Arabidopsis thaliana: one gene and its partners. The protein of the gene in region 3 interacts with the protein of the main gene of each other region in a pairwise test. Each region holds a gene or a part of one and is shown on either strand. Other genes may lie near its edges.

Region 1 (6,487 bases), on a different chromosome or scaffold from region 3:
ATAGATAAGCCACTCGAGGATTGTCCTTCTCAATTTCATTAGCAACGCGAAGAATCGGGGCAATAGAAGCGAGAGAGGAAGGAACAAGCTCGCTATCCATAGCACTAGCATCTTCGTTTGGTCTATCAATCATCATAGTAGTCGCACGCGACGGAGCTCTCCGAGAAAGAGACCGCGGCAACTCCGCCGTTCCACTCGAACTAGCTTCCATATCCACCGTGAATCGAAACTATAATTACTACTACCACCCTCTCCTCCTCCACAAAAACCCAATAATTTATTCGTGAAATCAAAAATCTCACTGAAATCAAAGTAATCGATTAACATATTTGTTAATTGATCTCCTTTTATACCAACTTTATAGAGAACGCAAAAGAAAAGAGATTGATAAAGATGGCTAAAGGGTTTTCTTCGAGAGACTTGTTAATTCTATATACATATATTTCTGCTTTTTTACGTCTAAGCTTTTTCATCTTTTGATCTTTCTTATCTTTTTGGCTCTCGCTTTTTGCTTTTTTCTCTGGGCATAGTACGAAGCTCTCTCTAAATTCTTTTGCTTAGCGAGGAAGGTGACAGTGGAGAAGAAAGACGAAAAGAGAAGACCACAAATATCCAAAAAGTTCTCAAACGGTTTTTTTAAGGATTTTTTTTTTCATATCAGATCCGTCAATTTTAGGATAACATCCAACAAACGATACCGTTTCGGGGTCTCAAATTTTTAATGTGAAAAAAAATGGCGCTAAAAGTTTAACAAAATCGCGCTAACAAATTTTCGAAAGAGGAAGCAATACGACATCGTATAATGCCCGTGCTATCTTTCGAAAACGGTGGCGTTTAATCTCAAACGTAATATGCCATCTTTAAAACCAGAATGATGCGTCGTCGTATATGTAAATGATAACAAAGCAGCTTAAACGACGCTGTTTAGAAAGGAAGACAAAATTATATCTTCCTTGGAACACATTTTATATCCATCCACAAGTCCCCCCAACACATGATGCTAAACTATAAATTGCAATCAAAAGTTAATATTTACAGACAGCTTTCTCAGATTCAAACCTCCATTTCTATCTTATAAACAAATTTTTGTATTCCAAGGCGACTCAGAGAGAAGAAAACGAGCTTGTTTCCACTTTCATTCACTCCACCACAACACACCACATTGGGCCTAAGAACCATTCTGCAATCCCACGAGGCTTTTTCCCGGTAACTACAAAAGAAGATTGGCGGATGTTTGCTTCAGGTCAATGATTATGATGATTGTTTGGTTCATATAGGACTTGCTTTAGACACCTGCGCCGTCGTTTCCGAACCAAAAACTGTTAAGTGACCTCCCTAAACAATCTATGGTCGATAAAAAGGAAACTCTGAAATAACCTCAGAAGTCACTAATAGAATGAAAACTTCTTTCTCATTTGAGGATTTTTCGTAGTGTTTCAACTATGTATTCATGTTCAGACCGCAATTCGTTCAAACCTTTCTCGAATGCTCTCAACATTGCGTTTATCTTAAAAGTGAGCATACGGTTTGAGTTTTTCTTATCTAAATAGAGTTAGTTAGCTATAAATATTGTGGTTTGCTTCGGTTTATATTCCCACCCCTAGTTTATCTGATGCATGCATTTACAGCTTACTATAAAACTCCTTGTATGTGTCAGACATGACTTCCTAATTTAGATGTTCATCAAGAGAATTGTATACCTGATTTTTCGACACTGTGGCGGAGGCCCAGTCTTGTTGAGGACCTTGAGGTTGCCTTGGAACAGTTTCATAGTTGACATAAGTAATCCTTCTGGTGTCTTCTTGCCTACTCACAATGTTTTGAGGGGGTAACTCCCGCAAAACCCATAAAACGAAAGCCAATGGGACGGTGGAACCTTTAAAAAGCGTTCTTATCAGTAACCCTGCATTTGAAGGTCTTCAAAACAACAAAACGAAAGAAAAAAATCTTCACCTATGAAATAGTATATGATCAGAAGAACCAATGCTTTGATGCCGTGTAATTTGCTTGGGTTCCAATGATAAAAGAGCTGAGATCAAAGATTGGTTTTGGTTAAATGTATCGACGAATGTTAGGTTTCGGTTTACAGACATACTTTTTTGAGTGATAATGACTTACTGGAATGTGTGTGAGAAGAGCGATTAAAGAGCTAACAGTGAAGCAAACAACTGAGACTCCTGCTAGACCCGATACCTATAAATGGTTAAAATGTACTTTCAGGGTAAGGATTCGACTGACATGTGCAAAGAAAGAAAAGCTTGTTGAGCCAAAGAATCATTAGTTACCTTTCGCATCTCTGATGAAACTTGTTCAGACCGCACCTTTCTTAGATTAAAGAGCAGACGCAGGCCTAAAGAACATAAAAGAGTTTGTGAATATACGCTGTTCAATCATAGCAATAAGCCAGTAAACCACTGACCAAAACATCTCACGAATTGCTAGAAGAAAAATATGAATAGCTGAAACCAGAAAAGAACTTAAGAAATCACTTACCATAGAAGCAGATTCCTCCTCCAGTGATTAGGATTATTGCAGCAAAAATATCGACATACACCTATATAAGGAAGTGAGTTTATCATAAAACCAGAAAAAATATAGACAAAAGTCTTCTATTTCTCGAGCTTAAGAACTTAGTGAAAGAGGAAATATCAATGTGCAGAGGAATACCACATACCTCAGCCAATAATGAAGAATTCATAGGATTCTTTCCGGAAGCGATCCAGATAAGGATTGCAAATGATATCATTAAGATGAACACAAGAATAATTGCCTAGCAAAAAAGATAAACATTTTTATAAAGATCATAGAAATGACTTGGCTAGAGGTTAATGCACAAAACTGAAAGTATCCCATACCGCAACAACAAACTTCTGCCGGGTTCCAACATGAATACCATGGAAAGAGCAACACTTTCTACGATCACTTGCATTCGAAGAACCTGGCTTGCTCTTGCTTTTTTCAAGCAACACTTGTTGGATGCTATTTTCTTCATCATCATCATCATCCTCCTCTCCATTTCCCTGATGGCAAACATCTACCCTATAACATGAAGAAGCATCATTGTCTTATCTCAGATCATTATTAAGATAAAATAATCAGGGACAACACAATATGATCAGAGTATTGAGAATATACATACCAGAAAGAGAGAAGCAGGAGAAAAGTTGCCAGAAACAGAATTTTGGGAAAGGCTGCAAGTACAATTTGATTCATCAGGGAATTAACTATAAGACAAATCAATGAAAAACATACACAAACCTTCACAAAGGAATGAAATATTTACCCATGAGTAGAAAACCTAATGCGTTGGACCAATGATGCCACCTTGTGCAAGTCGCTATAACCGCAGCCACGAAATAAATAACAGAACCTGCCAATATATACGAATAGAGACCTTACTCACTGGCTAAAACTTCCCCCAATTATAATTGTTCCTGAACAACAAATGACTGAGGATTTACCAGTGTTTGAAGAAGCAATCATAAGATGAAGTACCTGCAATTTTCATGATGGATGTGTCAGATACACGCCATGAAAAGTAACAATAACTGTAACCATATAACAATAACATAGAGCCTAAATTGGTTGGGATGAGAAGAAATACTTTTTGCCGAGTCCATCCAACTTGTTTATTCCGCCTGTGAAATCGAGATAACTGAAAGAAGTAGGCAGCCAAGATAAATCTTATAAGCCAAACCCCACAAAAAAAGAAGAGAATAAGACTTTTTTTTTATTACTTCACCGTCTAAAACTACATAGGAACCTTTGAAAAGAACATCTTAATCTACACACATAGCACTTAAAAAAGAAAAAAAGATTCTACTTTCTAATGCTAATAATTCATATCATATTCAGATTCCCTGAATCCAAATCTCTCATTCTACACAAACACACTTCAGCTCCGTGAGTTATTCATAGAGTTGACCTTTAAACTTAATGGTCAACCACATGAACAACAGACACACAACTCTAAAGACTGAAATCAACCAATTCATTAAATTCAACATCAAGAATCAATAATCTCACATCTCGTTTAATCAATAAGCACAATGCTTCACCTGTCCGAACAGGCCTTAACGGTCACACACAATCTAGCATTCACAAATCAAGACTGATTTTTTCTTTTTCTTTCAGGAAATCAGAAGAACCAAGAATCAGAACCTGAAGGAATGCGATGAAAGCAAGAGCGGCATCGATAAAAGCCAAACAGAGATTGACGGCGATGAAGCTAGGAGCATAGCATTTATCCTTGGTTGATTCGAAAAGAGTCGCTAAGATCTTCATCGTGAATCCGCTCTTTTCTTCTCGATCCTCCCCAAGAGATCGAATGCCTAGATTTTAGGTTTGTAAGAGAGAGAGGATCAAAGAACACCACCGAGACAGATGGTTGTAGGAGATGGGTTGGGTCTGGTCTGAGAGACAAAAATAAAAATTATTTTTTATATTTATATATTTCCTGGACAACACAATATACTATCTACTAAATTTAATTGCTACAAGTGGTACGGCACACTAGAATATACAACAATTACTGCCATAAATTAATTAATTAATTACTCTTGGCTTAAAAGAATTATTAAGTAATCAATATCTCTTTAACTAAAATTAATTATTAATTATTGTTAGAAGATGTAAAATGAGGGTTTTTTGTAAAAATCAGAACTAAACGAGTTATTTTTGCAAAACAGAGACACCTCTTTTCTGCAACTCTCTTCTCCGACCATGCTCAGGTACATAATCCGATTTCTTTTGTATAGTTTGTGTTCTGCAATAGACTCAAGCTTCTTTAGTTTCCAATTTCTCTAGATTTTCTGCATTTCTTTCAAATTGGATCAACAAAGACGATGATTTGACAACTCCTTTGCCTTAAAACCTTACCAAAGTGAGTCCTAAACTCACAAACAATTCAGGGATTACTAATCAAACTTTGACAATTCCAGTGACTACAAATTTACTTGTCATTGATGGTAGACTATAGAGTTTGAGAAAATGCATGTAGCAAGCAAAATTAAATCACTTTGTATTCAGAAATGAATTTGAATAAGTACATTAGTTTGGTATGATCTTTGTTCTACAGCAAATACATTACATGTTTGAAGGAATATCCTAAAGAATGAAAAAATCTAAAGGGAAAAAAATGAATCTGTTCTTATTGTGTGTTCAGTTGCTTTGATGGACTTAAAAATCGACAAGAAAGATTATATATCTGCACACTTTGTAGGTGCATACCCGAGCCTAGACCTCTTTGTATCATAGAGTATATGAAAATTCTGCTGCTGGTAGTTTCCAATGATTGAAAATGCTGATTTGGGAGTTCCTAGCATTGCCAAGCAAACCAAATCCTCATTCAACCATATGAAAGAATTCTCTGTCGGGAAGTTCCAAACAGCGCCATCTGCAAAAGCAATCCCAAGCTCTGGCAGCTGAACGTTATGAATGCCAGAGACGTTGAAGCAAGGATCTAGGATTGGAAAATCTCTATAGACCGGATACTTCCCTTTAGCTTTCTCAGCAATCTTGTTCTTGATGAATTCATATGCAGGTTCTGCGAAGTAACTTAAGGTTGTACCTGAATCAATGATCGTCCCTCCAGCTCCATCTGATGAGATATTCCATGTTTCTTCAGGTATGTTTAGAACTTCTCCCGCGACTAGAATGGATTTGATTTGTACGTAGTAAAATGTGTCGACGAGGTTTTCTTTCCCAGCGACAAAAGAAGTGAAGTTCAGATTCGGGTGACTTAACAAATCCTTGTCTTCTCCGAAAATCAGTTTGCTACTAACGTTGGTATCGCTGTTTCTGTCGACAAGGCAATAAGAGAAGGAATGACCATAAAGAGACTGAAGCTGAGAGGAAAACGAAAGCGGGCCTCTTCCTAAACCAAGCAAGCCTGCAGCACCATGGAAGAGACCTCGGTTCCAATGACCGCAACCGAACATCATATTTTCAACATTATACAACTCCGAGCTCCCTCCATTTGTCGTGAGGTTAACCGTGAAAGTCTCTACTGCAAAATCTCCGGTAGTGTTGGAGCTATCCCCATACCAGTAGTAGTAAGGGCATGATTGGTTATCTGATTTGCAGGGCATTGGAGGGTCAGGTGATGAGACTAGGTTGCATCTTTGGTCATTGCAAGTTATGTTCTTGTAAGAAGCAGAGGCTTTAGGGTCATAAAACGCACCGTTTTGCTGGAAACAGTCGTAGCAAGGCAAGCATTGAATCCAGTTTAAGTCACTCCCTGTATCAAGAATCAAGGAGAAGTGTTTTGGTGGCGAACCAACCAACACGTCCATGAAGTACTCGCCAGAACCGAGAGTCATACCAGACTCAAGTGTTGCCACCAATTGACCAGCCTGCTCCTCCACGGAAGAAGCCACCGGAGTAGTGGTAACAACTTCTTTATCATTCTTCTTCTGCTTCTGCGAAACAGTGTTTTGGTTGTTCTTCTCCAAAACTCTTTTGTGAAGCGTCTGAATTCTTGTGAGAT
Region 2 (4,358 bases), on a different chromosome or scaffold from region 3:
TCCAAAGTTATGAAGTCAGAACTGTACTTTCGTAGCTGACGTGTATATTTCCTTTATTTTTGAATTCTGACTTTCCATTTTTTTATTAATTGACATTTTTTATCCAGTTTGATCCAAAAAAAAATGATGTAGGTTTTTTTTTCCCATAATAGGAGTACAAACTAATAGGTAAAATTAACAAATTTAAATGTATAAATGGCCTTTGGGGTTGTTTAAGTAATGATTAAGATGGTATTATTGGTGGACTTTTGGGGAAGATAAAGATAAGATATGCCTTCTTCATCACGCCCTGGCTTGGTCTAAACACGATTAACGCGTTGTCAAGATTTAAGTGGAACTTGGTATCTTATTTTAATAATTCGAAAATTTTATTATTTTAAACTTATGTACTTACGTTCATTTTTTTTCTTCTTATTAAGATCCTAACCAGAAATAGCTCAACCACCCCACATTTTTGCTTATAGTTTTTAACTTCAAGAGATTCGGATTTAAAAAAAAAAAAAATTGTCGTACTGTCCCACGTAAAGATTCAATTTTGTGTGTGACAGATGTAAGTTATACACAATGATTTTCTTCAACTAACTAGATTGAGTTTGTTGGCATGTTTTACTATATATGGTCTCGATTTAAGATGATATAACAAAACAAGATAATTAGTTCAGATAATGTTAAACGTTCAATATCTGCATTTTGAGTTAAGATAATCTCAATATCTGCATTTTGATGTCTACTTTTATTTATAATTTTAGCCAAACTTGCCACACTGGGAAAAACGTTATCAGTTTTGGCACTTTCTTTCTTCTGTTTTCTTGATCTCATTTATACAAAAATGGAGAAGTTCTTATGATCACGTAACCAAAATTTATAATTTAATTCAAACTCTAGATTCTGGATAAGACTAAATCTGTGTAACTTGGGTTACTGATATAGGTTGAATGCACATGGATCTTCCTCATATAAAGACTATATAATATACTTAAATCGTTGACATAGAATCTCATAGAACTTTTCAAAGGGGAAAAGAATCTTAGTGATCCTCCAATTAATAATTCAATTATACTTTGCTCATATTGATCGGTTTAGCCATCATGGCTTTTCAGAGACTTCAATTTTGGATGACAACTTGTTGATCCGAAAGGCAGCAATGCAGAGAGTGATATTACCAAACACCGTTAGTGCTGCCTGAAGAGCGACCAACACCTGATAATGCAGTCCAACAATTACACCATTAAGTAGGAGTGAAGAAGCAAACGAAACATATCACAGACTTATAGCTAAAAGTTGGAGTCAAGAGTTTCTTGACCTCAAGAGATTCATCGTTGTAGAAGAAATGCCATGTGCATGCACAGAGAGCTCCACCAAGCAAAGGTACCTGATTAAGAACAACCAAAAAGCTCAGAAAAATGAAATCATGTAATCTAGGAAAACGGCTTAGAGCTTTCTCACCATTCCCCATGAGAGACCTTTCCAAGACTCATAACCCTTTCTTTCTCCATACTTCCATACCAATGCCATCGCCGTAATCCTTTAGTAAAAACAACACCAGAATTAGAAAGACATTACATTTTTCTTGTTTGTTAGCTCCAACTGCATTTCAAACCATAATGAGAGAAGCTTAATCTACATTGTGAGTGAAAGATCGAGACTTTATATGTAGATGAAGCTTCTCTCATAATGATATCAAAAACTCGAAAAACCCACAACATCAAATACTCTCTTGTGTCACTATAGATCAAATGTCAAATGTTTTCTAAGTGAGAATTTCAATCAATAAAGCAAAGGAAGAAGAAGAGAACCATTCGACAACGCTGGAAACATGAACGGCCCAAGTGGGTAAAGACAACGCATTGGACGGTTCGCTTAGCTGAAGAGAATCCACCACCGCCGCCAAAGCAGTAGCATCTGGTCCCGCCGTGATGAAAGCAGCCGCAACCAAACTGGTTCCGATAAGACCCGACAGCGCAACCGGGTCATGAATTAAACTGCGGCTTCGGATCCGAATTACAGGTTCGTTAGAGGTGGTGAGAGAAGAAGCTGGACGGCTCTCAGAATGAATTCGCCGGAAATTGGGTTTGGCGCAGCAGAAAAGAACGGTGGCTGTTGAAGCAATCGCCATGGCTGAGATTTTTCTCCAATTTCCAATTCCCAAGTTCTGGTTTAATTTTAAACCGGTTTGCTGTTGAACCGTCTTTTATCATTTTCACAAACAAAATTAAACTAATCGGTTTATTAACAAATTCTGGTTTTTCTAATTACTTCCCATCTTTGAAGTTGAAGAGAAAAATATAAAGACAAAATGGAGATTAGTACATTAAAAATCTCAAATTCTGTATTGAATTATTTATATTACAAGAAGAATTTTCCAATTATTTGTAGTACATATATATATGTATAATCAAAATGTGGAGTGAAACAAAATCAAAATGTTAAAATGTGTTACTCTTTTCCTTAGACCAGATCAAAACGAGAGTGAACCCCATCAATGACATTACCACCGTCTGCAAAACAAAACAAAAATCTCTATAATCATCATCAATAAAAGATTATGCTATGTCAAAAGGATATGAGACTTACAGATATAGCAGGAGGAATCCCCACAAGAGGATCTTGAAAGAACTTAGTAGCAAGCGCTAGAGCCAAAAGGCTACTCTGCATTCCTGATATATTCACAAACACATTTCTCTTCTCAAATCTTTAAACCAAATTGTACTTTCTTGATAAGATTTTCCAATACCATAAAGAGTTAGTACCAGTTTCATAGGACAATGTTCTTTGCATGGCTTTAGCGTCTGGAGCGTTTCTAAAGACAGAACCGGTAAGGAAGTATCCAGCGAGGAAAGCTGAGAGATGAAACATTGTTACTAGTAACAATATGGTGGCTCCAAATGGAGACATGACCGAGTTTATGTTCAATGCGAGTGGTGCTCCAACGCAGCAAGCTGTGTCGAGAACCGATAGAATCGGGAGAAATGGTCGGATTGCATTTGATACTTTTGGGAACAACCTGTAAAAGAAGAAACAAAAAGGAGATAAAAATGGTTATACTTAGAGAAACAACTTGTGGTTATTTCTAGTTGTAGGCTTGTAGCTATATCTCTCACTTGTTTAGTAGCAATCCTGCAGCGATTGGTGCGATTACAACCTGAAGAATGCTGGATATCATTCCTTTTACATCAACGGGTAGTTTCTTCCCAATGAGCAGGAGTGATAGCATCGGTGTGACAAGAACCGCAGTAGCGGTTGATAGAGATGTCATGACGATGCTAAGAGGTGCCAATGCTGGATCAGTTAGGAATGTCGCATAGTTTGACAACTGAGCTCCACTAACACATGATACCAACATGATTCCAGCACCTGAGAGATTGAGAAAGATTGGTTAATGTGAGAGATAGGTTAAGAGTCTTGAATGATGAGAGACAGGGAGCTTTTACCAATTGGAGTTGGGAGTTGGAAAAGAGAAACAGCAGCTAGGCCAAAGATGAAACCTAGGACAGGCTTTACGAGATATTGTCCAACATAACCGAGGAGGATAGCTTTTGGTCTTTTGAAAGCTTCAAGAAAGTCTTTCTCGTTTGAATTGATACCAACCGCAAACATCAAAAAACCTAAAGCGGGCACAAAGTACCTAAAATAACAGGAGAGTAAAGAAGAGCTTTTTAGCAAACCTCATGTCTACAATTCAAAGTCTTAGATCAATTTGACCTTGTTCCAATGGGAAGAACCTCGACGTAAACCAAGTGAAAGAAGGAGGATAGATAAGAGCTAATATTGTACTCGCCAACACTACATGAGGAAGAATTGAGTTTGCTTTCTTCATTCTATCCACTATAGAAGGCTTCTCAATAACCTGCAAGCCACTTACTAGATTCATGTTGGTTCTCGGAAGTAACATAAAATTCTTAACAACTGAAATCATCAGCAAACGAAGAACAAAGTAGCAAAACTGTGATCCAGGGATGATTTTTAGCTAATCAGATTCAAAAGTAGGATAATTAACAAGTCTTCAATAGTGCAAAATCACATTTTGACATTAAAGATGACACATTTTGAGAAGACTATTCAAACCCAACATAACATAGAATGGAAAAGGAAAGATCCCATAGCGCACACCTTGAATGGATCAGCTCCAGGATCCAAACCCATCTCCGAGAAATTATCAGATGCATATCTACGCCACAAATTCCTCGATCCGCCAACTGTGTATATAGTAGGTTGAAGAAAACCATGAGAGAAGAAAGTGTAAATTTTGCAGGTACCCAACAAGCATAAACGCCTGAGGATCGATGAGAGTAAGATGAACAAACCTTGAGAGATTGGGTCGATGCGAAGTGGAGAACTCAGAGAAGTGTTCGAGAAGA
Region 3 (4,442 bases):
ATCGAAAACTCCATCTTGTAAAAAAGAGTTAACCAGAAAAAGCATATCCATTTTTATGGTAGCCCATGGTTTTTGAAAGAATAACGCTGTCATACCATCAGGCCCTGGTGCTTTTTCCGGGTGCATCAAAAACAAAGCCGCTCTTACCTCATCTTCTGTAGCAGGTGTCGTTAAGAAGTCATTTATTTGATCCGTTATTAAAGTTTTAACCTCTGATAAAGATTCCGCAATATTCTGGGGATTCGACTTATTAAACAAAGTCTCAAAATAAGACACCGCTATATGTTGGACATCTTTATCCTCTGCAAACCATTTTCCATTTTCATCATGAAGTCCTATGATCCGATTCCTAGCCCGTCTCTGTTTTGTTAGAGCATGGAAATATTTTGAGTTATTATCCCCAACCTTCATCCATAAACTCCTACTTTTCTGGTACCAATATTGTTCTTCATCTATATAAGCCTCCTTCAACCGTATTGTTAAATCCGTTATCTCCTCACTTGTTCTCGAATCATCTCTCTGTGCCGCATCTATGAACTCATTTTTAATATGAACTATGAACTCATCTTTTATTGCAGTAGGGAAAACTGATCTATCCTCGTGTGCTATTGATATGGATTATTTTTGTAGTGGATCACTAACCAAGTCCTACCAGCTCTAACCTGCTGTATGCAGTCTGACGCTTGTTCAAGTAGAGTCACTATGTGTCTATGCTAGTCCCATCGACAGGCCTACTCTGACGCGCCTAGAGGGAACGAGCGGCTGGCTTTGGATCTAAAGAGCATAGGGAAATGTTTGAATCTACAGGTCAGCTTCATCTTCTCTTGTTTTCTCTGTTTCAGTTCTTGTTCAAGGATAAAAACAGAGAAACGTTGGATAAAACTTCAAGGAACTTAAAGAGATATAGACGTGACGTAGATGGAGAAATATGAGCTGTTGAAAGTGATTTTTCCATAGTATTACATAACATTTTCACACATTTATAGTGGAAATCAGAGAACTAATCACTGCTCTGTTCATAACTACATATTTTCAACCTACGCTCTCTTATCGTGTTTAAAACCAGTCTTAATGTGTGTCGCTATTTTCGTGTTCGTGGTTGAAGCCAAGAGATAACAAACCAGTAATCGAAAAATCAACATAGTTATAATACAAATGTGCAGTAGCAATGCATCACTTTTATTTCATACGAAAGATAAAAACTTTATTATGATGCAAAGAGTTAGAAACTGAAATCAATCAAGCAGAAGCTACAAGACCACCATGCTTCATCAGCTTCTCATTGATCTCATCTTTCGCAGCACCGACAACACGATCAATGATGTTGCCTTCTTTCATGAAAACAAAAGTAGGCATTGCCTCAACTTTGAATTCCTGAGCAACAGCTTGCAATTCATCAACATCGATCTTGAAGAAGACAACATTAGTGAACTTCTTAGCCATCTCTGCAAACACTGGTGCAATGAAACGGCAAGGTGGACACCATGATGCTGTGAAGTCTATCACAATCTGGTTTCAATCAAAATTTCAGAACAAATCAGAACACAAACATCATTCACCACTAAACTAACTAATCAAGAAAACCCTAAACCATAACGTAATCAAATCAAATTGAAAAAAAGCCCTGGACATAACAAGAGAAAGTAAAGTTTCTATAATTTCAGACCATATCAGGATACAATTATCATTCACCACTAAGGTAGCTAATCAAGACGAACCGTAATCCCTAAGTAAAGTAATCAAATCAAATTGAACAAAACCCTAGACAGGACAAGAGAAAGTTCTAGCTTCTATCAATTTGGGACCACCAGAGCAAGATATGGGACAAGAACGGGATCAAAAGCAACCGTTTCTCGAACATCATTCACCATTAAGCTAACTAACCAAGAAAGCCCTAAACCCTAAGTAACGTAACCAACTCAAATTAAAAAACAAAAAAAACCCTAGACAGGACGAGAAAATACCAGTTTCTATCAAATTTCAGACCAAATCAAGACATGGTACATGAACATGATAAAAACCAAGGTTTTGTATCTAACATGAATTACCAGTTTACCACTAGATCAAGAAAACTGAAAACCCTAAGTAAAGTAATCAAATCAAATAGAAGAAGAAACCCTAGAGAGGAGAAGAAGAGAAAAGTACCAGTTTCTTGGATTCATTGGCGTCTTTGACCTTCTCGTTCCAAACTTCGAGGGTATGGCAAGCAATCACTTCTCCTTCACCGGCCATTTTTATTATTTGTTCTTAAGCTTTTAAGAGTTTTGTTTGATTGATGAGTTTTTTTTGGTGAATGAAAGAATTATTCTTGTTGGGATCAGCTTTTATAGGCAAGACTTGACCACCTATACCTCTACCTCTTCTCGGTCTTTTTTTTTAATTATTTTCCTAAAATGAGTTCGATCTTGACGCGTAGGAGTGTGAAGGGATCCAACGGTTTATATTAAACGATTAAAGAATAGGCATGAGTCTAGGTCAACGGCGTGATGATGGTAACGAGTAACGACAGTTCTAGATGTAGAAGACACGCATGTTTTGTGTGCACGATATATGAGTTTATCCGTTCTTTTCTCGTCCTTGCAGATATAAAAAAGTAACGTTTGTTTTTGTCGGCACGAATATAAGTTTTTTTCTATGTGATAATTTGTGGACTATTCCGAGCTTTTAGACGTGCAAAGTTGAATGGAAACTTTATCTAAGACAATAAGAAAAATATTATCTATAATATGCTAGATTTATGTTTTGAATAATAATGCAAGCTGTTTTTGATCAATCTTCTTTATTCCTCTAATAAATCAAATTCTAGTAATGTTCTTTCACTAATGATAGAACCGAGAGCTGGCTGTATGTGTGTTTACGCTTTGACACTAATTTTATTCTCAAACGACGTCGTTTTAGACTGATTAACAGTCACTAACGGATAATAACGGGTTTCTAGGTTCTATTAATTACTGATAAAAACATGTCTATTTTGGTCAGGTCAACGAATTGTTCATATCTTAAATGGTAGTCAACGTTTAGTTCATGTTTTAAATGGCCAAGTTGATGTTTAAAATGACCACAATTTAAAACTTGACTAATAAAGTCGTTAACAGATGATAACAGACGTTAGAAGTTCCGTTAATAACTGATAACATCATGTCTATTTTGGCCTGGTCGACGAATGATCATGTTTTAAAAGTTAGTCAACGTTTAGTTCATGTTTTAAACGACCGCATACGAAGTTGACGAATAAAATGGCCATTTTTTGAAAGTTGGGGATTAAATAACATTTTTTCCTAATTTTTAGTCAGTGTAGGTTTTATATCCTTTTTTGTTGGATGATTATGTCTTGTGCCCTTCCATTCATACGTGACTATGATGAATGATATCAACCTAGCACCACATAAAATGAGCTTTTTCAGATACAGTATTTCCCAACAAATTAAAGAATCAGAAGTACAAAGCAAATCTATCTATTTTATTATTTTCATACTAATTAACCTTTTTCACTGGTAATCTAGACATTGTTAGAGTTTTCTTGTTATGTTCTTTTATTATTAACTTAGGGCTAACCGAGAGTGTTTATAGATACTAAACGATCTGGTTACTCAAGATGGTCTACATGTGTTGTACACTTCTCCTCGCAATACATCGATCGGTCTATGTTCCAAAGTGTAGCGCTCCGGCCCCGTGTACACCCCTGTCTTCTCCAATAGCCCCATCGCTTCCTCTCTTCCGTATTTTGACTCATACAGCTTCAAGTACTCATAATCCTGATTCATTCTCCAAATAAGCCAACTGGAACAGTTTTTCGTTGTTATCTGATTGGTAAAACTATAAAGTTGACGTACCTGTAAGCCACTAAGAAGGCGCTCTAGCCTAAGTGAAGCAACTGGCTCTGAAGAAGATGAGAAAACTTCACCGGGGTAGTAAAGAACTCCATCACCAGGAGGAAGACCGCGCCTAAACTTTACCTATTCATTTGGTTATATAATATCATGAAGCAATCGATCAAGAAACATTTACAACAGAACTAAGGATAAGAAAATAACCTCGGCGCTTGGAACCGTTGCCTTCTCATAGCAATTTGCACCCCAGTACAAGAACCCGGTTCCACCTTCTTTCCACACACGCCACATCACTGCCCGTTGCTGTGTACCACGCATCCCCAGATGCCAATTTGGGTGAGGATCTGAAGGTCCAAGGCATATGTATGTCCACCATTCCTGCACCAGCAAGAAAAGTCCTCTTTATGATTCTTGTTGCTAAAATGCTAACACATACAGGACCACTAATGAGCACATCATTAAGATGACCTTGAATCAAATTTAACCATTCCATAACTACAGTACTTTGATCGACATATGATGATTCCATTACTACCAAAGCTAGATGTATTCATGTACACGTGCAAACGTTTTCAAAGCTTATGATAACTAATTAACTATATTGACCAAACT

Evidence for each region. The genes of interacting proteins can lie anywhere in the genome.
Region 1: the proteins of TRX5 (region 3) and Cand3 interact in a protein complementation assay, tested with the Arabidopsis thaliana proteins (one large-scale study listed by BioGRID).
Region 2: the proteins of TRX5 (region 3) and AT4G22830 interact in a protein complementation assay, tested with the Arabidopsis thaliana proteins (one large-scale study listed by BioGRID).

Annotation. Positions count from the first base shown.
Region 1 is NC_003074.8:21,837,131-21,843,617, reverse strand, and holds Cand3 (tobamovirus multiplication protein), read right to left. Parts: upstream 4,434-6,487; 5' UTR 4,285-4,433; coding exon 4,162-4,284; intron 3,684-4,161; coding exon of another isoform or gene 3,656-3,683; coding exon 3,605-3,655; exon of another isoform or gene 3,496-3,604; coding exon 3,462-3,495; intron 3,371-3,461; coding exon 3,284-3,370; intron 3,192-3,283; coding exon 3,140-3,191; intron 3,040-3,139; coding exon 2,856-3,039; intron 2,771-2,855; coding exon 2,675-2,770; intron 2,555-2,674; coding exon 2,494-2,554; intron 2,351-2,493; coding exon 2,286-2,350; intron 2,194-2,285; coding exon 2,119-2,193; intron 2,030-2,118; coding exon 1,954-2,029; intron 1,877-1,953; coding exon 1,701-1,876; intron 1,294-1,700; coding exon of another isoform or gene 1,270-1,293; exon of another isoform or gene 1,211-1,269; coding exon 1,169-1,210; 3' UTR 855-1,168; downstream 1-854. Other genes in the region: GSL11 (glucan synthase-like 11), read right to left, coding at 1-211; AT3G59080 (Eukaryotic aspartyl protease family protein), read right to left, coding at 5,199-6,487.
Region 2 is NC_003075.7:11,989,210-11,993,567, forward strand, and holds AT4G22830 (YCF49-like protein), read right to left. Parts: upstream 2,220-4,358; 5' UTR 2,199-2,219; coding exon 2,093-2,198; coding exon of another isoform or gene 2,035-2,092; coding exon 1,797-2,034; intron 1,526-1,796; coding exon 1,447-1,525; intron 1,373-1,446; coding exon 1,304-1,372; intron 1,201-1,303; coding exon 1,087-1,200; 3' UTR 855-1,086; downstream 1-854. Other genes in the region: AT4G22840 (Sodium Bile acid symporter family), read right to left, coding at 2,427-2,498, 2,575-2,657, 2,751-3,004, 3,102-3,354, 3,432-3,625, 3,723-3,847, 4,111-4,196, 4,305-4,358.
Region 3 is NC_003070.9:17,074,025-17,078,466, forward strand, and holds TRX5 (thioredoxin H-type 5), read right to left. Parts: upstream 2,394-4,442; 5' UTR 2,233-2,393; coding exon 2,146-2,232; intron 1,510-2,145; coding exon 1,240-1,509; 3' UTR 918-1,239; downstream 1-917. Other genes in the region: AT1G45150 (alpha-1,6-mannosyl-glycoprotein 2-beta-N-acetylglucosaminyltransferase), read right to left, coding at 3,591-3,755, 3,834-3,956, 4,035-4,208.